Linked DNA regions of Rattus norvegicus. The protein of the gene in region 1 purifies or fractionates together with the protein of each later gene. This does not show direct contact. Links are inferred from orthologs where the notes say so. Each region holds a gene or a part of one and is shown on either strand. Other genes may lie near its edges. The genes, in order: Baz1b and Smarca5.

What was found.
Region 2: the proteins of Baz1b (region 1) and Smarca5 purify together in Homo sapiens (affinity purification with western blotting; 11 studies listed by BioGRID and IntAct, with this or other methods). This does not show direct contact. The link is inferred for Rattus norvegicus from reciprocal best matches to the Homo sapiens genes BAZ1B and SMARCA5.

The regions. Positions count from the first base shown.
Region 1 is NC_086030.1:27,076,943-27,092,196, reverse strand, and holds part of Baz1b (tyrosine-protein kinase BAZ1B), read left to right. Parts: intron 1-170; coding exon 171-309; intron 310-1,178; coding exon 1,179-1,312; intron 1,313-3,947; coding exon 3,948-4,050; intron 4,051-5,651; coding exon 5,652-5,750; intron 5,751-7,388; coding exon 7,389-7,566; intron 7,567-9,342; coding exon 9,343-9,525; intron 9,526-13,855; coding exon 13,856-14,003; intron 14,004-15,254. UniProt on the Homo sapiens protein: Atypical tyrosine-protein kinase that plays a central role in chromatin remodeling and acts as a transcription regulator. Involved in DNA damage response by phosphorylating 'Tyr-142' of histone H2AX (H2AXY142ph).
Region 2 is NC_086037.1:44,195,616-44,210,869, forward strand, and holds the end of Smarca5 (SWI/SNF-related matrix-associated actin-dependent regulator of chromatin subfamily A member 5), read left to right. Parts: intron 1-1,498; coding exon of another isoform or gene 1,499-1,522; exon of another isoform or gene 1,523-1,536; coding exon 1,537-1,669; intron 1,670-3,377; coding exon 3,378-3,526; intron 3,527-4,504; coding exon 4,505-4,624; intron 4,625-5,543; coding exon 5,544-5,654; intron 5,655-5,906; coding exon 5,907-6,020; intron 6,021-6,335; coding exon 6,336-6,458; intron 6,459-7,968; coding exon 7,969-8,101; intron 8,102-8,217; coding exon 8,218-8,336; intron 8,337-8,726; coding exon 8,727-8,939; intron 8,940-10,992; coding exon 10,993-11,100; coding exon of another isoform or gene 11,101-11,229; exon of another isoform or gene 11,230-12,151; coding exon 12,152-12,217; 3' UTR 12,218-13,352; downstream 13,353-15,254. UniProt on the Homo sapiens protein: ATPase that possesses intrinsic ATP-dependent nucleosome-remodeling activity.

The DNA.
Region 1 (15,254 bases):
GAAATAATTTCTTTTTAATTCATCAGGGATCCTGTGGCAGTGAGGGTGAGACATCCTAAGGAATATGGGGAGGATCATAGATGATCATGTCCTACCTTACATGGAAAAGGAAGAGAGACTGGTCCGGCAAGCACGTGCTTCATACAGACACTTGTTTTTAATCTTCACAGTGAGATTGGAACGGGAAGCTGAAGAGGAGCGAGTGCGGAAGCACAAGGCTGCGGCAGAGAAGGCTTTCCAGGAAGGGATTGCCAAGGCAAAGCTCGTCCTGCGCAGGACACCTATTGGGACAGACCGCAACCACAACCGGTACGTCACTCAGCTGAGTTTCTGTGTCTTCGGAGTGGTCCTAGTTGTTACTGGTTGGGAAGCTAGCTGAGGTGTTCTGTTCAGTTTCTCAGTTCTGTTTGTAGCCATGATTGCGTGCGGTTCAATCATTGACTATTACTGGTGTCAGATGCTAGGGTTGAAGTTAGATAAGGCAATTTCCCAGGCTTATTGGTAGCTTATATCAGAGCTCTTGCATAAACCATGGGTTCTATTCCCATGATTAAGAAAAAAGTCTCCTCTTGTCCTTAAGGCTACCATCAATAGGAAATTTAAATAGCACAGACAGATGAACTGTAATCCAAATAGTTATTTTTAAGTGGTTCGGTATTTTAGGAGAGATGGTTCCGTGATTAAGACTACTTACTGTTACTGGGTTTGGGTCCCACCCACATGGTGACTTATAACCATTTGTAACTCTAGCTCCAGGGGTTCTAATACCCTCTCTGAACTCAGTGGGGCCCCAGTCATGTCTATACATACATACATACATACATACATACATACATACACACACACACACACACACACACACACACACACACACACACACAATACAAAACACTAAAAATAATTTTTCAGGTAAGTTATTTTAAATTTATTCATTGTGTGGAACCTAGTGAAACAGAATAGGTACTACAGAAATGACACAGACATTAGATGAGTTCCAGATGCCAAGATGTCTTTGTTGCCCTGACTTTCCTTACAGATTGTGAGGAAGGGACTGTCAACTGTGACCAGTTTCCTGCTTCTCAGGTTGCTGTCCAGCAGTAAAGCGACCCAGCCTTCTCCCTGTCCACTGTCTCACTTATCATGGCTGTCACTAATTAATCCCTTGTTGTGCTTTGTAGATACTGGCTCTTCTCAAACGAGGTCCCAGGGTTATTCATTGAGAAGGGCTGGGTCCATAACAGCATCGACTACCGGTTTAAGCATCACCGCAAAGACCACAACAATCTACCTGATGATGATTACTGTCCCCGCAGTAAGTGTATCTGCTGCGGAGCTGCTGACGTCAAGCAGCGCTTCTCAGCCAGGGCTGCAGGGGCGGGGTGGGGGTGGGAAGACCCTTTCACAGGAGTTGATAGTCAGGTGGTATGGTTGGGGTCATGCGCCATGAGGAACTGTGTTAAAAAGTTGCAGCACTAGGAAGGCTGAGAACCGCTGCCCTGAGTATGGTGTCAGCCTGTCACAGGCGGGGGATGGTTTGTCCAGAGTGCCCTGAGTAAGTCAGAACTGTGGAGCAGCAGCACAGCACGAAGCACTATTTTCCTAAGTGAGTGTGTGGCTGCTGAGGAGCTGTGGCCACACCAGTGTGCTGCACATTGCTGTCACAGAAAAAGATTTAAGGACTGTTTCCTTTGAGTGTGTTTTGACCTTCTTCTTTTGTAAAGATGAAACATTTTTATTTGTTTGAAGCAGTGCCTTGCTATAGTTCAGGCTGGCCTAGAACTGTCAATCCTCCAGCCTCAGCCTCTTGAGTGCCAGGATTGCAGGTGCACACCTCTGCCCTGGCTTTGAGATATTTAAGGTAGGGACTGTTTGTGGTTTAACAGAGTTGGGTAGGATCCACACTGCGGACGGACTCTCTTGTGCCCCCTTTCCCAGCCATGTGTTTTCTTTATTACCAGCCTAGCTTCTGAGTGAAGAGGAGCATGTAGAAAGGAGAGAACCTGGGAGCCCTGCTCCTAGCGTAATGAGGGAAGATGAAGAGCTAGCACGTGGGTAGTCGATTCTACAGAAAAAGCTTTCAGATTTTGTACCTTGGGAATGTCTGTAGAGGCGGCAAGCCTAAAATTGAAGCAGGAGACCAAGGAACGAGTTCTCTTCTTTCTCTGCTTTTTAAATTAATTCTGAAATATCTTGTATCATGCAAAGGAAATCTAGGTATGCTGGGGATTTGACTGCAAAAAAAACAGATAAAGTCCTGAGTGTCACTTCACTGCAAATCTAATAAGGAGGAAACAGTATCTTTTTTTTTTTTTTTAATTTATTTATTCATGTTTGTGAGTGCACTGTCACTCTCTTCAGACACACCGGAAGAGGGCATTGGATCCCATTACAAAGTGTTGTGAGCCACCATGTGGTTGCTGGGAATTGAACTCAGGACCTCTGGAAGAGTAGTCTGTGCTCTTGGCCATTGAGCCATCTCTCCAGCCCAACAGTATCTTGTAATCTCAGCACTTAGGAACCTGGGGCAGGAGGTTGTGAATTTGAGGCCACCCTGGGCTTCATAGAGACCCTATAGGGTGGGTGCTGGGGTTGACTGAGACTGAGGCACAGTGGCACGTGTCTGTAGTTGTCGTTCCTTAGAAGGCTGAAGCAGAGTGATTGCTTTGAGCCTAGTTGTTGAACAGACAAAACAAGACAACCACCTACCACCTGTTTGGGAAGCTCATATAACCTGGGTTGGTTTTGAAGTCTCCCTCTCCTCTCCTTCTCCTCTCCTCCCCCGTCCCCGCCCCCAAGTATATGTGTTTTGTGTGTCCGTATGTCTGAACTGTGTGCATTGGTGCCAGTGAAAGTCAGTAGAGGCATCAGATTCTATGGAACTAGAGTTATAAATGTTAGCTGTCATAGGTTCTGGGATTTAAGCCCTGATCCTCTGGAAGAGCAGCCAGTGCTCTTAACTCCTGAGCCCTGGCTTTGGACTCTTTGATGTAGCCTAGGACTACCATGAACTTTTAATTCTCCTGCTTCTACCTCTTAAGTTTCTGGAATTGTAGGCATGCAACATCTTGCCTTTTTATTTTCTTCTTGAAATAGAAATAAATTTTTAAATTGGTAAACATGGATTTGATTTTAATTTTTAATGTTTGTGTCTTCTTTGCTTGTGTGTGTCTGTGCAGCACATGTGTACAGGCCTGGTGTCCTCAGAGGCCCAGGCAATTGTGAGCCACCCTAAACAATAAAAACATAAATAGGTGATTTAGAAGAGTTATGAAGAGTCACTGATAACATTTTCTTATTGTTGGTTATGAGGTATCTAAATTGAAAAACTAAATGTAAGTGTACTTTTCTGGATAGATATAGTTTCTTCAGCCATGTGTGTATGTGTATATTCAAGAACAAAAGAAACTGTTTCAGATCAGATGCTAGGGTTAGTGAGGTGGTTTCTTTGTAGTTAGAAAGGGTCTTGTGGGCTTTAATAGGATATTTAGTACCACCTCTTCCTCTGGCCACTAGATGTCAGCAGGCATGTGCAAATGTCTCCAAACCCTGAACACGTCCAGTATGTACTGTCTGTCATTATACCTATAAAACAAAAGGTTGGGGACCATGTGAGACTCATATGATATTAACATCCACTGCTTTAAAACATACGGTTTTCTTTTTAAGCAAACATACTTTCTCAAGGTTTGGAATTTAATTTTTTTATGTAATATAACTATAGTTTGTAATGCTCTTATTAAATGAAATACTTGTAAATCTGGGAATAGTTATTTATATATTTCTTAAATCTTATTAATTAAAATTCGACAGTTTAGTAATTATAAATGTATTCTGTGTTTAATAGGCAGCATCTGTATATTGTTAGGCTGGGCATGGAGTCTGCTTAGGTTTTCTGAACAAGGAGTTGGTTTTTAATGTATTAAATCTAACATTTGCATTTCTCTTAGGTAAGAAAGCAAACCTAGGCAAAAACGCAAGTGTGAATGCACACCTTGGATCAGCACTAGAAGCTGTGGAGACCACTGTGCCCAAGCAAGGGCAGAACCTATGGTAAGAGCCCCGGTTGGCTTGCTCACTGTCACTCCTTCCCAGTGTTGAGGGAGAGCTATTTAACACAGTGATGTCAAAGACATTTCATGTCGCACATGTTCTGCATGTCAAAGCCTACTGTTGGGTGAGGGGTAGCTCCACTGGGAGAGCCCTTGCCTGATGTAAGTGAGCTCTGCGCTGCATCTCCAGCAGCTCTCAAGCAGTTTGTGGGAGTGAGTGCATTCCTGGAACCCAGCACTTGGAGATGGAAGCCGGACATATCAAGTCCAGGACCAGCCTGGGCCACATAATACCCTGTCTCAAAGGAAAGAAGGCCCAAAACCTCACTGTTACAAAACCACATGTGATCTTTGGGTAACCAGCTATTTCTCTCAAAGTTCAGATTTGGTTTCCCTTGCTTGTTCTACTTTGGTTTCTGTTGCTGTGATAAACAGACACTGTGGCCTAAAGCACTTTGAGAGGAAAACGGTCATTTTAGCTTATAGGTTCCCATCCATCCTCCAGGGGAGCCGGGGTAGGAAGGAGTTCATGGCAGGGGTCACCGAGGGATGCTGCTTCCTGGCTTGCTCCCAGGCTCACTCTCAGCTTGTCTTCTTTCCTTTGCTTAGGCATGGTACTTCCTGCCCACAGTGTGAAAGCAATCAAGAAATGCCCGCAGGCCTGTCTGATGAAAGCAGTTCCCCAAATTGAGGGCGCCTCTTAATAATAGTTGTATCCAATTGACAACCGAGGTTAGCCGTCAGACCTCTTTATAATATAATCTGGTATATTACGTGCTGGATTTACCCCCAATTCTTGAGACACATAGTATTACACTGTAGCTCAGGTTAGCCTGGAACTCACTGTGTAGCTCAGGCTGGCTTTGAGCTCACGCTAATCTTCCTGCTTTAGCTTCCCAATGTACTAGGATTACAGGCGTGCACCATACGTCTGCTGTGTAATGCATCTTATGTAGCACTGCCAAATGCTTCTGAATCAATTTGGGAATATGAAGACTTTTGAATTTGTTGATTATACTTTATAAAGTATGTCTAAAATAAAATTAAGGTAAATGTAATTATTAAGTAAATTTTACCCATGGAAAAAGATTAAAAATGACTTTTGGTTCCTGGGTATGTACAATTCTGCTTTTAGGCAAAGAGCTAGATTTTGTGAGGTCTTTACTACCTTTGATTATATAAAATATGTTTGGTGCAGTCACTTAGCTGTTTTTGTTTAAGGTATAATTTACTTTTTGACGTTGTTAGGACAGGTGTTCTGTTGTCTTTATACAGTCTATCATGAGCCATGTGATTGGCACACACACACTGTTAGTCCCAGAATAGAGGCTGAGGCAGGTGGATCTCTTGAGTTCAAGGACAGCCAGGGCTACACAGAGAGAAACCTTGTCTCAGAAAAAACAAACATGTTACTGTATAGTAGCAGAAGCCCTTCACTCTTCCATAACTTACAGTAAAGTTAATATCAGGTGTTCTAATGGAAAACATTAGACGGAAAACAGTTTGGAATTCTGCATTTCTCACTCACTGTCAGCCTGAGACTTCGTACACTGTTGGGTTTTCGTTGTATTTCCAACTTTAAGGTTTGTTTCTCCTCTTCAGGTTTCTGTGTGACAGTCAGAAGGAACTGGATGAGTTGCTCAATTGCCTGCATCCTCAGGGAATAAGGGAGAGTCAGCTGAAAGAGAGACTGGAGAAACGGTAAGTGCTTCTCAATGTCAGTGTCAGTGTGTGAGTCACGGTGTGCTTTTGAAGTGGGGTCTCTGTAGGTCAGTCTGGCCTCAAACTCACAAGAGATCTGCCTGCCTCTGCCTCCTAAGTGCTGGGATTAAAGAGTGCACCATGATACTCAGCAACAAGATGGGTTTGGTTTGGGCTTGTTGGCATGCTTGATTTCTGTGTGTGTGTTCTTTGATTTTTAATTCAGTAATATTATGTGTATGAGTGTGTTGTCTGTATGTATGTCTGTTCAATGTGTGTTTAGTGCTCTAGAAGGCCAGAAGAGCTGTGGGTATTCCTAGGATTGGAGCTGTAGATTGAAAGCCATTGTGTAGGTGCTTAAGCAATCAAAACCTCGGTCCTCGGGCTGGAGAGATGGCTCAGTGATTAAGAGCACTGACTGCTCTTCCAGAGGTCATGAGTTCAATTCCCAGCAACCACATGGTGGCTCACAACCATCTGTAATGAGATCCTGTGCCCTCTTCTGGTCTGCAGTCACATATGCAGGCAGAATGCTGTACATAAAAAATAAATAAATAAATAAATAAATAAATAAATAAATAAATAAAAACAAAAAAAAACCTCGGTCCTCTGAAAGAGCATCCAGTGCTCTTAACAGCTAAGTCGTCTCTCCAGCCTCAACCTGCATGCCTATTTGAAACAGGGTCTCCTTTCTGTATAGCACAAGATGACCTTCACCTTCTTACTCTCCTGCCTCTACCCTCTGTGTGCTGTGCAGGTCTCAAGGAGCTCTTGGCTAGAGCTGTGTACAGTCATACCTGACTTTTTGTTGATAATCTATTAACGTTACAAGATAAGTCTGTAACCTGTGATGTTCACATAGTTTGTAATCTTTTTGAGCATCATGTTTATTTGGGAAAATACTTTTAGGGTGGTATATATGATCCACGGGTAGCATCCTTGCTCTTTGACTAATGTGTGGCCTGAACCAAGCTGTGAGCCACTGTAGTTAAGCAGTGTTGCAAAAATGCATTCCTACCTGAATTAGTGTTCAAAACTGATCCGTCATCATTCATGGTAGACCAAAGATGGATGCCGTAACTGTCTACTGTAGAGAGACAGTGTGACGTCAGCTAGCACACCATTTACTCACTTACAAAGGGATGACAACTGGAGAGACGGCCACACACAGCACATGCAGACAAAAAACCTCATAAACATTTTTTTAAAAAAAAATTGTGAAGCCCTGGTTTGTGCTGCCACATGGGGTAAGTATCAAAACATTTGCTAATAAGCAAAGGAAGCCAGATATGAAAAGCCATGTATTGTATGATTCTGTATATGTGATGGGTCAGTATCCAATATAGAATAACACAGGAACAGAACCGGTTACTGGCTGCTGGGGGATGTAGAGAGCGTTTGCAAAAGTTTCTTTAGGGGCCCAGAGAGGTAGCTGAGTGATTAAGAGCACTGACTGCTCTTCCAAAGGTTCTGAGTTCAATTCCCAGTAACTATGTGGGGGCTCACAACCATCTGTAATGGATCTGATGCCCTGTTCTGGTGTGTCTGAAGACAGCTACAGTGTACTTATATACATAAAATAAATAGTTTTAAAGAAGTTTCTATAATTTCCTCCTTTCTCAATCTCAACTCCTGTAGGTACCAAGAAATTACACACTCCATTCATCTGGCTCGGAAGCCAAATTTGGGTCTAAAATCTTGTGACGGCAACCAGGAGCTCTTAAACTTCCTGAGGAGTGATCTCATCGAAGTGGCGACGAGGCTGCAGAAAGGAGGACTTGGCTACATGGAGGGAACATCCGAGTTTGAAGCCCGGGTAAGAGTGCAAGAAACCCCCTTGGGGAGCTGGGTTGCGTTCTGGTTAGGTTTGCTTTGGATGATACATGTGGAACCAAAATGTGTACATAAAGCTCTCTCGGTCATGGCTTTCGTTTGCTAAGTATTTATCAGGAAGTGGGCCAAAGCTAGTTCTTTCTCTTGCTGACATTGGATTGTTTTTCTTTCTGGCCTGATTTTTTTTCTCTTCAGGCAAGGTTTACTACATGGACCTTACAAAACTCATATGTAAGATCAAGCTAGCCTCACACACAAGTGATCTCTTGATTCTGCTTCCCTAGTGCAAGGAATAAAGGTGTACACCACCACACTTCTTTAAAAATTGGCATTCCTTATGTGACTGTCAAGATTGTAGTGCACAACGTTTAAAGCACAGTTTTGTGACCTGAAGGGCTGGCTCCATGACGAAGAGCACACAGCGCTCTGTGAAGCACCCAGCTGTACCTCCAGCACCAGACACGTTGGGGCACTGCACTCATGCACGCATATTCAGGCAGGCACATATGTGTGATGAGAAGTAAAATACATCTTTATTAAAAGTGTACGTCAAACATGGTTTTATAGCATGAGCTTGATCCCAGCACTGGGAAGGCAGAGTTAAGTGGGTCTTTATGATTTGGAGGCCATCCTGGTCTATATAGTGAGTTCCAAGCCAGCCAGTGTTGCCTAGTGAGACCCTGTATCAAAAATTGTTTTTAATTTTTTTTTCCTTTTCTTTTGAGACAAAGTATCACTGTGTAGCTTTGGCTGGTCAGGGACTCTGCTATGTTGAGCAGCCTTGCTCCACCTCAGGCCTACCTGCTTCTCAAGCACCGGAAGTAAAGACTTGGGCCACCACTCCCAGCTCCAGTTTATTTTTTTTTTTAAGATTTATTAATTTATTATGTATAAGTCCACTGTAGCTGTCTTCTGACACACCAGAAGAGGACATCGGACCTCTTTACAGATGGTTGTGAGCCACCATGTGGTTGCTGGGAATTGAACTCAGGACCTCTGGGAGAGCAGTCAGTGCTCTTAACCGCTGAGCCATCTCTCCAGCCCCTCCAGTTTATTTTTGGTGTGTGTGTGTGTGTGTGTGTGTGTGTGTGTGTGTGTGTGTGTGTGTGTGCGCGCGCGCACACACACACAGTTCTTGTCCTGGAAGCTGGAGGTGCTGGATCCCGTGGAGTTGGGTTAACTGGTGATTTTGAGTCTTCTGACGTGGGTGCTGGGAACTGAACTCTGGGTCTCTACAAGAGCTGTGCACACTCTTTAACTGCTCAGCCATCTCTGCAGCTTCACAAAGAATGTGCAAAGAAAGATAAGGATTTGGTGCCTGTCTCAACAGTCATAAAATTAACAAAGGTTTAGTGGAGGTGGGAAATGTAAAGCTTAGTGCTTGAGCCCAGCCAGGAAGTGGAGAGCTTGAGTCTTCTCAGATTGTCTTTGCTTTCTTGCCTGTGTTTTATTTCCGGTACTGGGGTTTAAAGGTATGGCCTCCCACATGCTTCACACAGCCTCTGTACCTCAACCCTCAAGTTTGTCCTGTACGCAGTGAGGAATAGTGAGTCCATACAGGAGCAGATGGAGTTTCAATCTTCTGGATCCTTTCTGGGGAAGTGCGAGTGTCAGGTGCTGGTAGATCCCAGTCTACCATGGAAGGCGTGCAGGACTCGCGGAACTGTTCTGGTACTTGGCTTGGGATGTTAGGAACTTACAGGCGGACTCTTTAATGGTCTCGTTCTCCTCTTGGTGTCAATTTAAAATCTTTCCCTAGGTCATCTCCTTAGAGAAACTGAAGGATTTTGGTGAATGCGTCATCGCCCTTCAAGCCAGTGTCATAAAGAAATTTCTGCAAGGTTTCATGGCTCCCAAACAGAAGAAACGGAAACTCCAAAGTGAAGACTCCACGAAGTCCGAGGAAGTAGATGAAGAGAAGAAAATGGTAGAGGAAGCAAAGGTATTGAGTTGCTGAGTCTAAGCACCGGGTTCTTGCTTTAGGGGACTTGTGTGAATGTAAGACGGAGAAGCAGAGAGCCGCCCGCTGACAGTAGTAGCCTCAGCTGTTTGTAGGGACAGCTGGTGTTGGACATACAGCAGGGTAGAAAGTACCCTGAGCGTGCTGTCCTGTGGCAGGCACAGCGTCACATGACAAGCATGACAGTGAGCTGAGTCCCAGTTCTTCCTTAACAGTGTGGCCAGCTTCTGCTGCGGCTCCATGCTCCTGCCTCAGCTTTACCAGAGAGGATTGTGCTTGTGTCAGCCAGCCATTGCTAGCTCAGAAAAGATGGACTTACATGGGGTTTCCACGAGTTTTCCTTTCACACCATCTTTGAACTCAACCCCTCCTAGCAGGCAAGTCTCTGAGTTCAAGGCTGAGACGCCAGGGCTATATAGAATCTCTGCCTCAAAAGGAAAAAAATTAAAGTCATTGTGAGTCCAGGCCATTTGTGCTGGTGGATAGGAGTGGCCCTTGAGCTAACTTATGAGTGCCAGGGTGTCAGAGCTTCCCAGCAGTAGTAGTAGTGGGCGGGGGCTGGGTTCTGAAGGAACCTAAGTGCAGATTAAAATGAAGTCTGTCTCACTGTGAGATAAATCTATCTAGTTCTCTTTTATTTTTGTTTTAAGCCAGTGGTCTCACTGTGCTGGCCTGGAACTCTATGTAAACCAGCCTGGTCTTAAATTCAGAGTTCTACCTGCCTCTGGGATTAAAGGTGTGTGCTACCATGCCTGGCCTTTGTTTCCTTTCTTTGTTTTGTTTTGTTTAGATCCAGGGTCTTAACATAGGCTTGAACCCGAGTCCTTTTACTCAACATCTCCCAAGTGGTAACAGGCGTGCAGCACCACAGGCAGAGACTTTTCAGAAGTCACTCTCAGGCGCTGCAGAGATGGCGGGGCAGTTACAGCCTTGGCTGTTCTTCCAGAGAACCTGGGTTCGATTTCCAACGCTCATGTGGCAGCTCACAACTGTCTTAACTCCAGTTCTAGCTGGTCCAACAAGCCGTTACGTGTGCCTATGTGATTACAAGCAGAAATGCTTAGGATTAAGTCCCTCCTCTTCCTAAAACACCTCGAGAGTTTGTACACAGTTAAGTTTCTCCTTCCTTTTCTTAGACCACAGTGGTATATGATTCAGGGTGATCATCTGGGGTGAGAGGCTGATTTACTTCACAATGGGACTTCACACCTAATCAGTATTTTACTAGCACGACTGTAAGAACTCTTCCTGGGTTTCTTTTAGTGGCCTTTAGCACCCAGATAGTATTCTAGGTGATCTCTGAGACAGCTTCAGCCTCGGGCTCGCGTGCTGAAGTTAGAGACCTAGATTAAATTTGCCCCAGTTTTGGTTTTAGTCGTATGTGTGTTGCACATATTTCTGTGCTACAGCAAGTGGAGGTCAGAGGACAGCCTGAGGAGTCGGTTGTTTGATCACCTAGGTCTTACTGTCGGATGGAGTTTTTTTTTTTTTTTTTTCTTTTCTTTTTTTTTTTTTTTTTTGGTTCTTTTTTTCCGGAGCTGGGGACCGAACCCAGGGCCTTGCGCTTCCTAGGTAAGCGCTCTACCACTGAGCTAAATCCCCAGCCCCAAGATGGATGGAGTTTTGATTGTTGGGCTTGGTGGCAGGTGGCTTTGCCCTGTGAGCCATGGTGCCCTTTAACCCAGCTTTGTAGGGACTTTTATTGGAAAGTTCTTGGAAAAATGTTTCCTTGCTATTTACTTTTCCTGTGAGATTTTCTTCTTACTGAGGACCAACAGGTAATTAAGTCCCATTAAGGTCCCTTTGTGTACTAAACCCTGAGCTGAAATAAATGTAAGCCCTAGACTGAGTGCAAAAGTGGAGAGCTTCTTGGAAAAATCAGTTAGGTTGCTTGCTGAGTGGTTCTGCTCTATTCTGTTCTAGCAATATCCTGCCCAGCAGCTCCCACCAAAGGTCAGCTTTGCCACAGCTCAAAATTTTCCACTGTCCTCTGCTTTGAAAGTTTCCACTTAGCAAGGGCCAGGGTTTCCTTGGCCGGGACCAGGCTGCTACATGAGTTTATGTCAGTCTCTCTTCTGGGCTCCAGTTTCTTTGGTTCTGTGAGATCGTCTCGCCGGTCCTTTTTGTAGTAATACATGATCTAGGGTCTGCAGTTTTTAAAAAGTTAAAAAGTAGCATTTATTTTCACCTACGTTGATATGTGTGTGCCAGCTTGTCTATGTGCACCGTGTGTATACAGTGCTCTCAAAAACCAGAAGGCGGCATCAGCTCCCCTGGAACTAGAGTTGTAGGCAATTCTCAGCTGCCTGATGTGAGCGCTGGGACCCGAACCATGGTTCTCTACAAGAGCAGCAAGTACTCCCAACCGTAAGCCACCTCTTCAGTCCTGATCTATGTAAATATAACAACAATTTTCTTCCTCTAAATTGAGAAAGATAATGCGTACTTAGGAAAATCCTGGGAGAAATCCTGCTCTCTTTCTATCTCTTCACTCCTTCTCTGCCTTGGTCTCCTTTAACATCGGGTCTTAACCATGTGGTCCAGGCTTGCCTCAAATCTAATTTTGTCTCAGCCTGTTGAGTGTGGAATAACAGATGTGCGTCACTATGTCTGGCGTTTTTTTGTCTGTATTTGTTCTGACAACCCTGTTGTCTGCCACTTTTTCATTTTGTTTTGTTTTTATGAGACAAAGTTTTACTGTCTCCCAAGTGCTGAAATTACAGATCTGAATTGCTGTGGGAGCCTCTGAGCACCGCAGACAGCATAGAATGGTCTGAAGGAGGCAAGAAGGCATGTTGAACATGACATCAGGACTCTGACCCCGGGCAACTTATTTTAGGCATTTTTAAGTACAGTACACTTTGGTGAAAACTTCCCTGTGTACAGTAAAGCACACAGAAAGCTAAAGATGGGAGGTGATTACATCAAAGTGGTGGGAAGTGCATTGACACCTTCCGTAAAGACGGATTGTATAGGCGACTGCTCTTGACAGCTTCCGTAGATGGCTTCTGTAGCTTGAAAAAAACAAACTTAGGTTAAGGGTTTAGGGGAGGATCTGGTGTGGCCTCCAGCCACTCAGATATCACAAAGGTCACCAGGCTAGAATGTATGTCTACTCCCAGCTTTCTAGGAGGATAACAGGTTATGCATCCCTTCCTCAAAGTAAAGCCCTGTATGCTTAGCATTCCAGGTTCCCTAGTGTTTATCCATGCGCACAGGACTTACGTGCCTTCTGAAAGCTTCCAGACCTGGCTCAACTTGCCTTTATTATTTTAGCTGTATAAATTTATAGTATGCATTATAACTCAGTGTATGTACATCTGTATAATATCAAGTCAGAGTAGCTAGTACTCCCCCTCTTTAAACACACTTCATTTAGTTACTTAAGTCATTCATTTGTTTGTCTATTTATGGCAGTTTCTTGGTGTGACCTTGGCTGTCCTGGAACTCACTCTGTAGACCAGGAGATCCTCCTGTCTCTGCGTCTTCTGTGTTAAGATTAAAAGCGTGCCTCACCACAACCTGACTAGATTTAGTTTATGCATAGAGTAAGGTTTGCCAGAGAGTGTGAGTGTGTGTGTGTGTGTGTGTGTGTGTGTGTGTGTGTGTGTGTGTGTGTGTGTGTGTGAAGAAGAGGGGGGATGTTGGATTCTCTGAAGTGGATTCTTGTAAACCACCATGTGGATACTGGGAACTAAACCCAGGTCCTCTACAAGAGCAGCCAGTGCTCTTCTTCTCCTAGCCATCTCTAGCCCCATTTGAATTGTCTAGAAGCTCATTAATACCTGGTAACTGCATATTTATGAGGTGCTGTGTAATATTTAAAGGTATGAATTTGCCTAGTGCATGTACACCCCATAGATGTTTCATGTGGCAGTCCCTTACAGTCCTTGGGACATGAGAACTTTCGCTTTGATTAAAGGCTGGTGACACACAGATGAGAGGAGCTTTATCTCAGGTTCACAGCTTTATAGATAAGACTCACCGTATCTGTGGCCTGAGTGGGTGACTCATTAGCCAAAGTTTTGTAGGGCGTACATTGATTGATCATGTGTGCTGGTGTTTATTCCTACGTCTAAATGATTTCACTGGAAGAGACATGTTGCTTCTCGACCCTACTGTATGCTTAGTTTTGGTGTGACCTCTGCCAAGCTTCTTTTTTATCCTTTGAAGCCTTGATGGGGGAGTATCATATAAGTGGGTGGCTTTAATGAAACTCTAGAATCCTCCGAATTCTGTCTTTACCCACTCAGACCCCTTTGTAATCTTTGAGGTCATGGTCATGCCATCAGGTTGTCTCCTTGCTGCTTAGGTTGCCTCTGCCTTGGAGAAATGGAAAACCGCCATCCGTGAAGCACAGACCTTCTCCAGAATGCACGTCCTCCTTGGGATGCTGGATGCGTGTATCAAGTGGGATATGTCTGCAGAAAACGCCAGATGCAAGGTTTGCCGGAAGAAAGGTACGCACTGAGGAGAGTTGATAGCTAAGTGTTCCACTCAAAGTTTTCTTTCTCTTTTGAAGGGATTTTGGTTTTTTGAAACAGGGTTTTTCTGTGTTGCCTTGGCTGTCCTAGAACTTGCTCTGTAGCCCAGACTGCCTGCCTGTCTCTCAAGTGCTGGGATTCAGGAGTGCACCACTACAGCCCACTCTCTGAAGGAATTTTTGTCTGTCATTTAGTCCTTCTGTGTGTATCTCTAACTGGGTAGGGCAGATTTCCCCTTTGCGATCTCCTGCTGGTGACCAGCATGTGCGAGCATCTGCGGTGTGTGAGCATCCACGGTGTGTGACTGGAGCAGCTGCCCAGTCTTCACTTTGTGCAGGAGCGAGTTAGTGGAGTAAAATCTGCAGTCCTCGGGCCTGTGAGCCGAGCTGAGGTCAGTGCTTCCAGCAGGGGGCAGTCTTTGCATATTGCGCACCCCGACCTCAGTCTTTAAAGCCTTGAGTCCAGGGCCACGCATTTGGAAATGTTTTTTACTTTTCCTTGACTAATTCTATGTCATGAATTAGCTTAGGGGTTCAGTTTCCAAAGGGTGAGGCACTGTGTAGACTTGATTGCTGTAAAACTGACTAGAGTGGCAGTCAGAGAAGGAAGTTAACCAGATCTGAGAACCCAGGCAGACATGTGGAAGAATTTGGGGGTCCAAGGAGAACAGCAGAGTCTCCAGCCATTGATTTTTTTTTTAATTATTTTAATTTTTTTGCTGCCTTTTAGTTAAAATACCCATACAATTAAACACGTTTTATTTACTTATTTACTTTTTTCTTTTTTTTTTTTTGGTTCTTTTTTTCGGAGCTGGGGACCAAACCCAGGACTTTGCGCTTGCTAGGCAAGCGCTCTACCACTGAGCTAAATCCCCAACCCCTACTTATTTACTTATTCTGAGATAGGGTCTCATGTAACTCTGGCGAGACAGAAACTCAAAAATACCTACCTCTTCTGCCGCCTCAGTGCTGGGATTAAAGGAGTGTGTCACGATGCCCAGGTAAACTTAGTGACTACTAACTGTCCTGCCCTGATTCTAGATAGTTCTGAGGAGATACATTAGGAACTCTCCCTAAATTGTCCAATTTTCAGAAAGTAAATGCATTTTTTAAAAATGCAGGCTGCAAAGATGACCCGGTAGGTAAGATGCCTGTGTGTAAGCATGGGGGCCAGAGCTCTGTGCTGCACCCACGTAAGTCCCCATCGGCCATGGCGGCCCTCCTGCCC
Region 2 (15,254 bases), on another chromosome or scaffold:
ATTTTAAACTATTTTTGATAATATCTTAACATCTATATCTTTTACTTTGGTGATGTATACCTCCCATTGTCCCTGGTTAGATTTGTCCTAATATATCTCTCCCTTCTCAACACTCACTCACTCACTTTCTCTCTCTCTCTGAATCCAGTGATTCCAATTATTGCACCTATATATGGGGCCTTCTACTGGAGCAAGAGCAATTTTCCCAATTATATCCCCAAGATTCTCCCTGCCCCAGTAGCAGTTACCTGCCAGTAGTTCTTGGCTAGGGAAGTGGGTCTCAACAGCTGGAGTTTTGACGCTTGATTTTGTGCAGGGAGCCACAGCTGTGCTGTGGGTGATGCCTGCAATAGGGTGATAGCATTCTTCTCCGGCCTCTGGCTCTTAGATTCCTTCTCCCACCTTTTCTTTCACCTTTTGATGGGTTAGAGAACCCTTGAGTGTGGTGGGAGGCTGGTGAAGATGTCCCATTTCAAGTTGAACACTCACTGTCACTTAATAGAATTTTATTTCTTTTCACCTAATAGGTCAGCAAAAAAAATACTTTCAATACTCTGGTGAATGCGAATGTCAGTAAATGAGTATAGTTGTGCTTTAGAGAAAAGGGAAATCGGTTTGTGGGCTGGTAGTTGATCTGCCCTTCGGATGCCTAAAATATATGTTTATTTTGTGAGTTGTCTGGCCATCTGAGGAAGTTAATTTTAAGGCTGAGAAAATTCAGGATCTATAAACTAATGTGGATTGTACAAATTCTGACTGTTGTCTTAGAATATTGAGTTTGTAAGTGCAATTTTGAATTATCTGCACGAGTAACTTTTTCTTAAACTCTTTGTGAGGATAGTTAATAGAAATAATAGAAATTGATAAATTATTAGAAATAGGGTGTTTTTTTTTTTTTAAATTAATGTATGAGTTTATGCATGTATACCCACCTGCCAGAAGAGGGAATCTAATCTTCTAATAGATGGTCATGAACCACCATGTGGTTGCTGGGAACTGAACGCAGGACCTTTGGAAGAGCAGTCAGTGCTCTTTAACCACGAACTGATCTGATCAGCTCCAAAAATAAGGTGTTTTGTTGGAGGAACATGGTTTACCAAAAAATAAATAGAACTAACATTCAAATTAATTTGATTGAGTGTATTTAGCTAGTTGAGTAATATTTAAATATGATTTTTATATCATTTGTGAAGAACACTTTTCACGTTTTTAATTTTCCTAATAAGTGACATTTCATTAATTTGATGGATAAAAAGATTTTGAAACTAAATTCAAGTGAAAGAAATGATTATCAAACTGATATATTACAATTTTGTCTGTTAGATGGTATCATATTTTTTTACTCATGTGGTTGGCTTTGTTGAACAACTATAATTTTCTTTAGGAAGCTTTCCTTGTATTTAATTTGATTAAATCTGGGAATTTAAGAAGTATTTATGTAATATGAATCCATATTATAGGTGTTATATTTAATGAGTATTTTAATTTTGCTTCTCAGTGTACCTGTAAAATGACATGGTAATTTAATTCTGCTAGGACCGAGCACATAGAATTGGACAAACGAAGACTGTTCGAGTGTTCCGCTTTATAACTGATAACACTGTGGAAGAAAGAATAGTAGAACGTGCCGAGATGAAGCTCAGACTGGATTCCATCGTAATTCAACAAGGTGAGACCTAGAACTTGAGATAACTTCTTTTTTTTTTTTTTTTTTTTTGGTTCTTTTTTTCAGAGCTGGGGACCGAACTCAGGGCCTTGCGCTTCCTAGTTGAGATAACTTCTAAGTTGAATTGACAGCAGCATGTTTCAGTCTGATGCTCTAGGGGAGATTTTAAGCACCTGGAGTCCAGCTAACAGTCAAGAAAGAAGATATATATATTCCAGATATTTTAAACTTTTTAATTTTGTCATTAATGTAATGAGTTTTGAGCTTGGATAAGTTGATTTTAGTATTTACTAGCTAGCAGGTTTTCTTCTAACCTGAACTTCAAACTTCACTTAAGTAGAATAAAAAGTGATAGTTTTTAGGAATTAATGGGATACTATATAAAATACATGACATTCAGTATAGCATATATTAAGTTGAGCTGTGGTGATTTATTAGCACCAGGGATACTGAACAAAAATATGTGTTTCCTGTGTGGAACTATTTACTAGGTGACTGTCAGGCGCTGGCACTGTTCTTGCAGTAGAGACTAAAGCAACAAGTAGACCCCAGTGTTACTGTTTTCAAGGAACTTTAGAATTTAGGAGGAGGGGGACTGCACTGAAGCTGTAGGACTAAAGAGGAGTGGTATTTTATTTGGTTCAATTGAAGGGAACTTGTACCAGATCAGCTGTTAGGAAGACACACTTTGTTTATTGTAGTTGTGAAAAAAAATTAGATTGGCTAACTTCCTACCAGTTGAAGGTCTTAATTTATTATGTCAAGTTCCTTTCTGTGTTTAAACTAAATTTTCAAAAGCTTTTGAGTTTTTCATATTAGATATTTAATTTTGTTATTTTTAAAAAATTAATCAGTTAATTAATTGATTGATTAATTGAAATGGTTTCAGCTGATGTAGAATTTGCTAAGTGGACTGGGCTGGCCCTGAACTCGGAGGTTTGCTGCCTCTGCTTTTCAGAATTGGGATTAAAGCACCTGATTTAATTAAAGATCTAATATATGAAGACTTTTGTTTTAGTGTTCTTAGCAGACGCCGATTGGTTAAGATGAACAATAACATCCTTCTGATGGGAAATGCCTTTATGTTTATATGGTTTACATATATATGTCAGAATTTGTGACATTTTCTCTCAGCTTTGATTTTCTTTTTCTTTTTCTTTTTTTTTTTTTTTTTTTGGTTCTTTTTTTCGGAGCTGGGGACCGAACCCAGGGCCTTGCGCTTCCTAGGTAAGCGCTCTACCACTGAGCTAAATCCCCAGCCCCTTGATTTTCTTTTCTTTTTTGTTTTTGTTTGTTTTTGAGATGGTCTCATTGTATAGCTCTGGCTGTCCTGTAACTCACTATATACTTTGGTCTGGCCTTGAACTCACAGAAATACCTGCTTCTGTCTCCTGAGAACTGAGATTAAATGTGTATGTCACTGTACTCAGCAACTTGATTTTCAAATATCTCAAACAAAAAACATTTTATTGAGTCAATAAAGCTTATTACAGTAGGTAATATATAATATGTAAGCTTTAGAAATACTTAACAACTTAGACAGTTGAAAAATACGGCATTAAATTTAACATAGTAGTGAATTTGATCATTTGTAAATAGTAAACAAATGGATAAAATTTCTAATATTTAATTTTTTAAGTTTATAGTAAAATAAAGTCTTAATATAATACAACACAATCTCTCTCTCTCTCTCTCTCTTTTTTTTCCCCAGGGAGGCTTGTAGATCAGAACCTGAACAAAATTGGGAAAGATGAAATGCTTCAAATGATTCGACATGGTGCCACACATGTGTTTGCTTCAAAAGAAAGTGAAATCACTGATGAGGATATTGATGGTATTTTGGAAAGAGGTGCAAAGAAGGTGAGACACTAGTATATGATAGTGTTTTGTAACCAATAGTTTATGAAGAAACCCATGACCTGACTTCTCCATAAACATGAATGCGTGTATGATTTTTTTACTGCAGATAAGAGACTGAGAACAGCCAGCAGCATCTGGAGGAGTCCAGAGCAGAGAAAGTAGACTGATCACGATAGCAGCATGTGTGGCCAGCCTGGGGAAGCAGCAGAGGGTAGAGAAAGCATAGTGAAAACAGCAGGACAAAGGGAAGAATAGTGAAAATAGCCAGGCTGTAAGATAGGAAGGATGAGCAGGGGAAGCCCAAGAGCTACATGGAGTTAGGTATGGGAGGAGAGGAGAAGGGTGAAGATGTCATGGTAACAGGTCTTTATGATATAGGGGAGCTTGGAGGCCAGCATGGGCTTTGCTGTGCAGATAGGTGCCAATACTAGAGAGGCTGCCAGCGGTTAGGGAAGTGACTCCCTTTGGTGGACTTCTGGCTTGACAAGTTTCTGAGGAATACTGGCTTTATCCAGCTGCAAGAATCCTATAGTCAGGTTAATGCAGTTTCTGCATATTTGCACTGCCTTTTGAATTTGAGGAATTTGGAGTTTCCTTCGGACCTAACAGTTTAGACAAAAACTATTTGAGAAAATATTTTCTCTGTGAATCATCAACTTCTTTTTTCTACAAAAACCAAGCTTTCATATACCATAAAGGAGTCTTTTTATTTTTTTTTATTTTTTATTTTTATTTTTGTGTATGGGTGCCTGTCTGTGCATCATGAGTGTGCCTGTTGCCCAATGAGGCCAGAAGAAGGCACTGAATCCCCTGGAACTGGAGTTAGATACAGTTGTGAGCTCCCTTGCGAATTGAACCAGATTGTCTGGAAGAGCGACAAATGTTCTTAACTTTTGAGCCATCTTTCCAGTCCTGTTTTGACTACAGGTCTTAAGATTATTTTACTCTCAATTTAAGAATTTTTTTTTTTCTATGTAGACTGCAGAAATGAATGAAAAGCTCTCCAAGATGGGTGAAAGCTCACTTAGAAACTTTACGATGGATACAGAGTCCAGTGTTTATAACTTTGAAGGAGAAGACTATAGAGAAAAACAAAAGGTAATTACTTCAGAGTGAAGCTTTACTGAACACTTGAATCATGTGTTAGTTGCTCCTTCACTTCTTAGGTTTTCATGGTTCAGTGTTGTGAATGTAATCCCTGAGTTATCTGTTCCCTTGCTTATTTACTTACGGGGGTGGTGGTCTTAACACAGCCCTGGGTGGACTTCCTCAATTTCTATCTGAGACTGGCTTGAATTCTAATTCCCTGCCTCTGGGTCTGTCCTTAGTGCTGCCATTACAGATGTGTGCCTAAGTTAGTTTTGGAGTATTTTTAATTTATATGATAAGGCTCATTGCGTACTATTTCTGAAAGCATTCTTTTTTTTTTTTTTTTTTTTTTTACACTCCGAAAGCATTCTTGTATAGTGTGAGTATCCTTTGGAACATTTCAGAGTAAACTAAATGGCAATAAAAAGGCCATGGGCTATTTTTCTTAGAACTTGAATTGATAATTAAAATGATTCAGTAGATGTATCTGCTACTACAGAGAGAAATTGTCATATGCTGTATAAAAAAATACTTGTCATTTTTTTTTAACATTTAGACAAATACTGACCATAGGTTTTGTTTTTTTTTTTTTTTGTTTTTTGTTTTTCGGAGCTGGGGACCGAACCCAGGGCCTTGCGCTTGCTAGGCAAGCACTCTACCACTGAGCTAAATCCCCAACCCCAGTTTTTTTTTTTTAAAGAAAATTATGTCTAATTTTTCTACTTACTTGGGTTGTAGCATATATTCTGTAGTATTTTATAAATTCTGCTTTGTGTGTTAATGACATAGTATTAAAAATGCCATAGTCCTTACCATTGTAGAGTTTGTAGTTTAGTATTTCATCAATATATTTTTATTTATACGTCAATGTAGATAATTTATTGCTTTGTATAATAAAATTACTGATTGGAACTTTTCCCCATCCTAGATTGCATTCACAGAGTGGATTGAACCACCTAAGAGAGAAAGAAAAGCCAACTATGCTGTAGATGCGTACTTCAGGGAAGCTCTGCGTGTCAGTGAGCCTAAAGCACCCAAGGTACGGTGACAGCATGGACACACTTAAATATGCTACATTCTCTAACACTTTCACAGCAGAGTAAAATTGAGAATTATGTTTGCTATTTTTGAATTGGTTTAAATGTTGATTAATGTCAGTTCATTTCTATTTAAAGGTGAGTTTTCTTTCTTGGAGAATTGGCTTTTATGGTTTAGGAAATGACTTAATGTGAGTGAGAGTTCTGTGTATTTTTGTTTTTTAACGGACAATACTGTTTTTACTTTTCTTTAGGCGCCTCGACCTCCAAAACAACCAAATGTTCAGGATTTCCAGTTCTTTCCTCCACGTTTATTTGAATTACTGGAAAAAGAAATTCTATATTACAGGAAAACTATCGGTTACAAGGTGATTGAAATTCTTCTCTTTGCATTTTCTTCTCAGAAGCACAACGGCAAAGCTACTTACTGACTTTTTTATTTAACTAACTTGAACCTAGTAGGAAATGCTGCTGTTGCCTGCTGTGCTCTAGTATATGAACTTTCTGAGTTTTCACTAAAGAGAAAATTTCATGAGTAATACTTTTTAAAGATGTAATATACTAGAAATTAAGCAATATGGTTAATTTTATGGGTATATTAAAAATGTGTAATGTTAATTTGTCAAGAATGTATGAAGCCTCTTAAAATTAACCAATTGATGGCTTTGAAAAACCTGTGTTAGGTACCTCGGAGTCCTGATCTACCCAATGCAGCACAGGCACAGAAGGAAGAGCAGCTTAAAATCGACGAAGCAGGGCCCCTTAATGACGAGGAGTTAGAGGAAAAAGAGAAGCTTCTGACTCAGGTATAACCTTGATTAACACAAAATTAAGTTATTTTGTAAAGTACTAGAAACAGCTTTAGGTTTGTTGAGTCAAACATAAATGCACATTTCTGTATTCAAAGAGAACAACTGGGCTGACAGTGTGATCTCGTACTGGAATGCTTCCTAGCATGTGTGGTATTCTAGGTCCAATCTGTAGCACTGCAGAGAAGGAAGGGAGCACAATTCAACATGGGGAAGCTTGGACAGATGCTGCTGGATTTGATTTGCATTTCTAGTTGAGGTTGTCGGTATGTACTGGGTATTAGAACTTATTTTCAGTACTGCCAGCTTTCTGTGTCTCTTCCAGGTTATTCTAAATTACAAATTTCTATTTGGTACTTAATTTAAACCATTTAAAAATTTTTACGTGTTCATTGTACTTGGTACTTTGTTACATGAGAAATATTTTGACACCAACTATACATTGGATGTTGAGTACATTCATCCCTAGTCCCCATACTCCACCCTCCCACTCCTCCTCATTGGTTGCCTTTGTTCTTCTGTTCTCTGGCATTGGGGTGTGTGTGTGTGTGTGTGTGTGTGTGTGTGTGTGTGTGTGTGTGTGTGTGTGTGTGTAAATGCCAGCTAGCAGGAAGGAAGCGTTCAGTTGAGTTTCAGCTTGAGTCCTCTATCTGCAACCAAATAGTATGCTGTCCCCAGCAGGAAGGTTTAACATCTATTTCTGATGGGCAGCCAGGAACACTGGCAATAGATTGTGTTGTTTTAGGGTTTCTGGGGCCTTCCTGATCAAGAACTTTTATGAGGGAGGTATCCTACATCTGGCAATGCGGGTTTGTTTGATCCTCATAGCTTTCATAGTCAACCCATGCAGGATGCTGTTAAAAAAAATACACAGTTATATACTCTTGTGTTCCTGTGTGTGGATACTTGTGGGAGTCAATACTTTTTAACCATGTAGATTCTGGGGATTGAACTCAAGTTAACAGTCGTGGCTACAGGTACATGCTGTACCATCTCGCTGGCTCTTTTAAAAGTCATTTTTATGGGCTGTAGGTAGTATATAGATAGTAGGTTTCAATATGACTTCTTAGATCTTTAGTTTTGGTTAACCCTGTCACCTGTTTTCTCCTTTCTTCTGCTCCTTTTCCATTTGATCATTACCACCCTAGTATCTCCTCACTTACTTTATATGTGTTCTGTCCTTTAAGCTTGTTTTTCTTGCATTTTTCTACTTGTTCATTTTTCTGTTACTTTTATTTCCCAACTACTAATAGTGTATCAAAGCTACGAAGAGGGTCATTGAGCTTTTCAGTCAGCATTCCGATTGTCTTTCATTTAGAGTTCGTTGTTAAGGTTTCTAAGAAATTTATAATGTATTGGTAAAAGTGTGTACGTGAAAATGTAACCAAAACTCCAAGGTAAGATAAAGTAAGGATTTTTTTTTCTGTACATCAAATGTGTTTGAAAGTAGCGTTGTTGTCTTAAGTTCTGTGTGCTGTCATTAAATATTTTGCTTATTGCTGTTTAGGGGTTCACTAATTGGAATAAGAGAGATTTTAACCAGTTTATCAAGGCTAATGAAAAGTGGGGTCGCGATGATATTGAGAACATAGCCAGAGAAGTAGAAGGGAAAACTCCAGAAGAAGTCATTGAGTACTCAGGTAATACCTTTACTATATTGTCACTCTTCGAGAGTTGAATAGAAGGTTTCTGGAAGCTTCCTGTTTTATTTATATATAAACCCCCCCGCCCCTTTTACCCATTTATTCTTTTCCAGCTGTGTTCTGGGAAAGATGCAATGAGCTCCAGGACATAGAGAAGATTATGGCTCAGATTGAAAGGGGAGAGGCAAGGATTCAAAGAAGAATAAGTATCAAGAAAGCACTAGATACAAAGGTACTGTGTGCATTAAATACGGGGGCTGTGTAACTCCAGACTTTGATATGATAACTACATTATAAGAAAAGATTTCTAATTTAAAATTTCCTTAATAAAAAAAATTGTTAACTTTTGTTAACATAGTTTCCCTGAGTACTAAATTGATAGCCTGGTTTAAAGAAGACTCCACTTCTTCCTAAGTGTCAGAAAGCTTAGACCTCATTTCTGTAGTCACAACAATGGTGAAAAACTATAAAAGTACTACAGGACAAAGAGCAGGTCAGAGTCTTGAGATAGAAAATTCTGATTTGAAATGGAACATTTATGGTTGGTTATGGGAAGGCTGAAGTAAGCTTGAAGTATGGATTACATAGGACTTGTATTTCATACACTGTGTATAAATTCTAGATTGGACGGTACAAAGCACCCTTTCACCAACTAAGAATATCGTATGGTACTAACAAAGGGAAAAACTACACGGAAGAAGAGGACCGCTTTCTCATTTGTATGCTTCACAAGCTTGGCTTCGACAAGGAAAATGTTTATGATGAGTTACGACAATGCATCCGAAACTCCCCTCAGTTCAGATTTGATTGGTTTCTCAAGTCCAGAACTGCGATGGTGAGTGTCCAAGGTTTGTGTAGTGTGTCAGTTCAGAATAAGTATATTATTCAGTTATTTGTTACCTTGTTAAAAACATCCTTGAAGGAGACTTTAGTTTCAGAAATTAATTTCCTCTAGTGTTCACAGCCACAGCGTGAAAACGTTAGAGGCAATTTGAAGAGCTTGTCTCCTTTAATGTTGTGTGTTTTAACATGGCTTTATATAGTAGGGCTAATTAGGTTCTCAGTGAGGAGAAGTGTTCACCTGAACATGGTGACTTTTTTTTGCAAGTAGGCAGTTGTGTAGATGGCAGTGTTCTTCCCGCATCTGTCTGTCAGGCGGGATGCTGTAGCTGGGTTCTTTAAAGTGGCTGGTTGGCATAGAACAATATTTTCTATACTGATTTGAGACTGGGTTTTGTTTGTAGTTTTAATGTCTGGCTGTTTCTAACAAGAGATGCCCATTTCTAACATCATCAAATTAGAATTCAAGAAAGCTTACCTTTGGATTGTATCTTGCTTTCTGTATTTCAACACCTTTAACAAAAATTGAAAAGTCTTGAGTTTGAAACATACAGCAGTAAGAAAGTGTATGCATTTGAAGTATCTTGTTAATGTACAATGCCGTGGCATTTTCACATTTGATCATTGAAAAATAGCTTTCCTTTTCAGTTGGTAGTAGAACTGTAGTTTTGTGACATCTTTAGAGAAATGTAACTAGCATATGGAACCTGCCCTGAAGATACTTATATATAAGTATATGGTTAGTTGAAAGATTGAGTTGCTATAAACTTTACTGTGTTTCTTTTATATAAGGTACTATTTTTGCATAACATATAAGAAATTATTTCATAATAGTGCTAGTGAGATAGTGTCACATACCACATAAGCCAGATCTGAAAACTGCTTTCTTAGCATGTTAATATTAAGGCATACAAAATAAACATATGTAGGTCTTTATGGTAAATAAGAGGCATAGTTTTTGACCAGGAGTGCAAAGGATTCACTGTGCCAGCAGTGTGTGCTACAGTAAACGTGATAAGACATTGTGCACCACATCCTTCGTGTGTGTACTGTGCCATACTTTTGTTTTGTTTCCTTTTGAGACAAGATTTCTCTGTGTAGCCTTGTCTGTCCTGGAACTTGCTCTATAGACAGGCTGGCTTCAAACTCATAGAGTCGTTTGCTTCTGTCTCCTCAGTGCTGGGATTAAAGGTGTGCTCTACCACCTGGCTTTGCACTATACTTTTTAGAAAGGAAACAAAACTTTGGTTTTTATTGTAAGCATTACTAAGCCATGCATGGATTTTTCTATCAGGTGGTTTAGAATTATTTTACTATGGCTGCTTGCGTAGGAGTTTTACTTACATATAAGAGATTAAAAAAACAAAGACACTTTTTTCCTGTAAATAAACAAAGCAGTGATGCAAATGGATCTTTACCTCATTGCATGTTACCTGCTGACTCTCCGTTACACTTCAGATCTCTTCTGGCGGCCACATAGATTTGTAGAGAGTGGAGGCAGATAAAATACATCGTGGGTGTTAGCCTTCCTGCTTGGATGGGAGTGGGCTTTATAGCTATGTGCATAACGGCCATAAACTAAGATGATGATGCTTTTAAAGAAAATATTTTTTTTTAATCTCTTAAGTTCTGGTTAGTTTTGGTTTTGAATTATGTATGCTAATCTTTAAATATAAGTAGTCCAGAGTTCCTTGGCATAGTTATTAAATGTACGAGATGTTGTGTTAGTACCTACATGATAAACGAAGGAACAGTTTGTGAAGAATATACACTATACTTTTGTTTGCTTATTGGCATATTACCACAGAGCTACACCCCCAGCCGTGTTAGTGCAGCTTAAAAAGAATGAAGTAAAAACATTAAATCCTTGGAGTTTTTGAATCCTCATAGTGTGGTCTGTGAGAAAAAGTGAACTTCCTTTTGTTTTTTAATCTACTATGGATATTTAAGGGATTTTTGTATTTGTTAAAATACATATTTAGATAGAGAAGTCCTATCAGCATGTACTTGGAAAAAACAAGTTTATCATATATATATTTGTAATGCAGGAGCTCCAGAGGAGGTGTAATACCTTAATTACTTTGATTGAAAGGGAAAATATGGAACTAGAAGAAAAGGAGAAGGCAGAGAAAAAGAAAAGAGGACCAAAGCCTTCCGTGAGTACAGATTATGTGAATCATACAGTTTTGGGTGTTTTATGCACAGTAGTGTGTATGTGCATGTGTGTGTGTATTATCCATATATGTATGTGTAGTAATACTCACTGTGTGGGGCGCAGAGGTTGACAATCAGATGCCCCTTTATTTTTTGATTAAAGAGTCACACTGAATTTGCAGCTTGCCATTTTGCTAGGTAGGCTGTTGTAAGCAACTCTTCTTTTCCAGACCCATGCACCATCATTGGGTTTTAGGATTTTACTGGATTTGGGGATCAGAGCTCAGGCCCTTAGACTTGCATGACAAGCAGTTTACCCACCAGCCATTTGTCCCGCAAACCCACCACAACCAACTTTTAAAGTATTTGAACATTGTTTTGTTTTTCCTTTGTAAATAATACATTTGAGTTGCCTTAAAATATAAACTGGGTTTGATACACTAAATATAGAAAACCATGTTACTCTGAGGAGCTAAAAGAAACTCTTCTGATTGCCAAAAGTACTCACTTGTTCTTGAGAATGCTTGAAATTTTAGGAGACTTTTAAGGAGTATTAGAATATTGAACATGGTGGCTTGACAAGTTCTATGGCAGTCTTCTAAGTTTTTTTTTTTTAAAGGTTTATTTATTTTATATATATGAGTACACTGTAGCCGTCTTCAAACACACCAGAAGAGGACATCAGATCCCATTACAGATGGTTGTGAGCCACCATGTGGTTGCTGGAAATTGAACTCAGGACCTCTGGAAGAGCAGTCAGTGCTCTTAACCACTGAGCCATCGCTCCAGCCCCCGTCTTCTAAGCTTTGATTTAAGTTTAGTTTGATTCTAAGTTTGATTCTAAGTTTAGTACTGTGTTAGTTTGAATGTAAATATTTCAGGAGGAAATAGGCATCCTGTTAGTCAGCAGCAGTAAATTATTTGGAGATTTGATAGTAGTTTTGAAAGATTTGTTATGAAGCCCTGCAGAAGAGTCTTAGGCTGTCAGTCATATGCAGTCACTGCTACCATGCTGCATCATGTTTGAGAACTAATTGTTCTGTTTGTTTATAGACACAGAAACGTAAGATGGATGGTGCCCCTGATGGCCGAGGAAGAAAAAAGAAGCTGAAACTATGAATGCGTTTTGTCTTATAATCACTAACTAGTAGTTCTTTAATTTACGGGTCTTCATAAGATGTTCTGTACAGTGCTCAACTGTTACTGTCATTCAGAGACATGAGGTCATCTGCTTACTGAGCTAGAAACATAGTATGTAGTTTCCCTTTTTTAAATGCAACAGCTGTGCTGAAATTTTTTTTATCATTAACAATTGAAGTAATAAAACAGGCTTCATTTATTAATAAATGTTTCATTTGATTTATTTTTCTAATAGTTTCATTTGTGAGGATTGTGGCTTTTTATCAGCTACTTTAACACTTGTATGGCTTAAAAACAAGCAAACAAGTAAAAAAAAAAAATGCAAATAACATTTGATTGGTCCCTTCTACCTGGTTTGTAATTACTTCACATTCTTTGCTGATTTTTTTTTTTTTTTTTTTTTTGGTAGTACTATTGAGTCTCATCTGGAAAGATTGTGTAAATTGCATTCTTGCTTATTATAGAATGGGGGTAAGGCAAGACATATTAATTTTCTGTGCATATTTCTGTTACACTTTCTGTTTCTATGGTTCTGATGTGAATGTGCCCTATTTTGTTGGATGAATGGCCTTTTTTAGTTGTATAGCCAAAGACATTTAGTATTTTCTGGTTCTTTAAGGTAATGTATTATTTTGTAAAAGGAATTTTTTTAAGTATTTGGAAAATATTTTGACAAATGGCCTGCAGCAGCCACAACTTAGAAAGATAATGTCAGAAGTGAGGTGATTTTTTTTTTTAATTTGAATGACCAAGCCAAAATGAGGTGAGAATTTGTCATACTGTTATAATACTAATAGAATGTACCCTCTCAGTTTATAGTATTTTTTGAGTTTTTAGAGTAAATGAAAATTTTATTTTATTATATTTTACAAATAACTTCTAAGTCTTAGTAGCAAGATGGAGTATAATTCCAGTTTTTATTTTCTATGGAATAGACTGGTGAACTGGAGACCTTGAAGCAGGAATACCCAGAGGCCTTTATGTGCTACACATCATTTGTATAAAGTTTTATATGTGCAAATTGGGTACATAAGCAGTTCTCCATTTTTCTAAGGGAATGCAATAAATGTAGCATCGTGAATAAATATAACTTTTATAATCCTTAAAGTGGTCTTTTCTTTCCATTTCTTTGAACTTTTCCCCAATTTTTTTTTTTAAGATTTATTTATTTTATATATGTGAGTACACTGTCGCTGTCTTCAGACACACCAGAAGAGGGCATCAGATCTTATTACAGATGGTTGTGAGCCCCTATGTGGTTGCTGGGAATTGAACTAGGACCTCTGGAAGAGCAGTCAGTGCTCTTAACCACGGAGCCATATCTTTATCCTCCCCTCCCCATTTATTCTTTAAAGGTTTATAACTTCAATCTTTCCCTATAAGGATAGTCAGTTTTTCTTAGATCTCTCTCTGAAACTTAATTTTTGTGTGTACACGAGTCACTAAAAAGACTGCTGTGTGTACTATGACGGTCTGATGTTTTCTTAATGTAGGGTTGCTGGTGTCAGGGACATGCAAACAGTCCAGAAACTAGTAGAGCAATTTGAATTTTCATTATTCAGAGTTAGTTAATATTGATCCTTAGATGTGCCCTCATTTTGGAAGAAATAATCAAAAGCATTTTAAGATTGAAGAAAACTATATAAACAAGGTCACAAAATTGAGTTTGGAAGATGGGAGGAAATTGGGAGGTGCTGTGCGTGAAGGAAGCTGAACTGAGCATGTGTCTGTTAAGACCTGGATATTTAAAAATAGAAGTATAAGGGAAATCTTAAGTGAAAAAAATTAGCATTATGATTTGGCCAGTGCTGGACATTTGTTCTAGAGTCCATTTGCATAGCACTCCATGCTCCTCTAGAAGGAAGGAAAGAGTGCTTTAACCCTGAGCTACCCCTATCTTGAGGAGAGGTTGCTGGTGAGGATGAACTGGGAGCCACACCACAGACGAGCACAGTGGAGGCATTGCACCGAGCTGTTGAGATGTGATGCATAGAGTAGACTTAGGAAAGCAATGCTTCAAGGTATTTTGCTAAAGGAAAAGGAAATCTTAGTGGCTGTAGCAGCAGACTTCCTTACCAGTGAAAGAGTCCGCCTGTCTCCCCACACTGCGGAACCACTGAGCGGTAATGTTTCTAGGTAGCCAGCCAGTGCTTCCAGGCTGGTCCTGAACAAGTGAGCCCTCTGCTTCAGCGTTCTAGCTGTGATCCTGGGTGGAAGACAGTGCATATAATACCTAGACTGAGAAAAAGAAAAGTGGGGTTGCGGATTGTCTCCGTGGTAGAGCGCTTGCCTACCTGTGTTCAGTCATCAGCTCCAGGGGGAAAAAAGAGAAAAAAGTATATTTTTCAGGAAGAATGCTTCATTACTAATTTTTCCCATGTAATTCTCATGTACCTCCCAAGGGCTGAGATTACAGGCATGCTCTAATATACCTAGCCAGTTAGATTACTAAATGTTAGCATTTAACTCGAGTCTAACTACATTAGAACTGTGTTTCTTTAGGACGTGGCACCGGTGGTGTCGGCAGTGGCAGTCTGTGAGGAGAATCACTAGTATGGCAGGTATGCACAGGCTCTGGCGTCAGTGTCCCACAGTCCTAAAAGTAAATCACAGGTTGTGACCCAGAAGTTAACGGGCTACATACAGGCATGTTGAATTTGAGATTATGTCATTTAGAAGGCCTCAGAACATCCATGGGTTAGTGTTTCCCTTCCACTTTAATGGAATAACTGTAACAACTTAAAACAATTAACTTTTCCTGCTCTCAACTTTAATCAGTCGAATGTCTCAGACAGTAAAGGAGGTTGAACATTTGGATAAGTCTGAATAATTAAACGAAGGCTGACGTGCCAGCTAGTTTTTAGCTATCAACTTTGCATAACCTAGACTAACCTGGGAAGAGTCTTAAATTACATTTATTTAATTTGTGTGTGTTTGCGCTTGTGTGTGCGCGCGTGCATGCGTGCCGGTGTATGGACACACATGTGCCACAACACGTGTGGCAGTAATAGGGCGG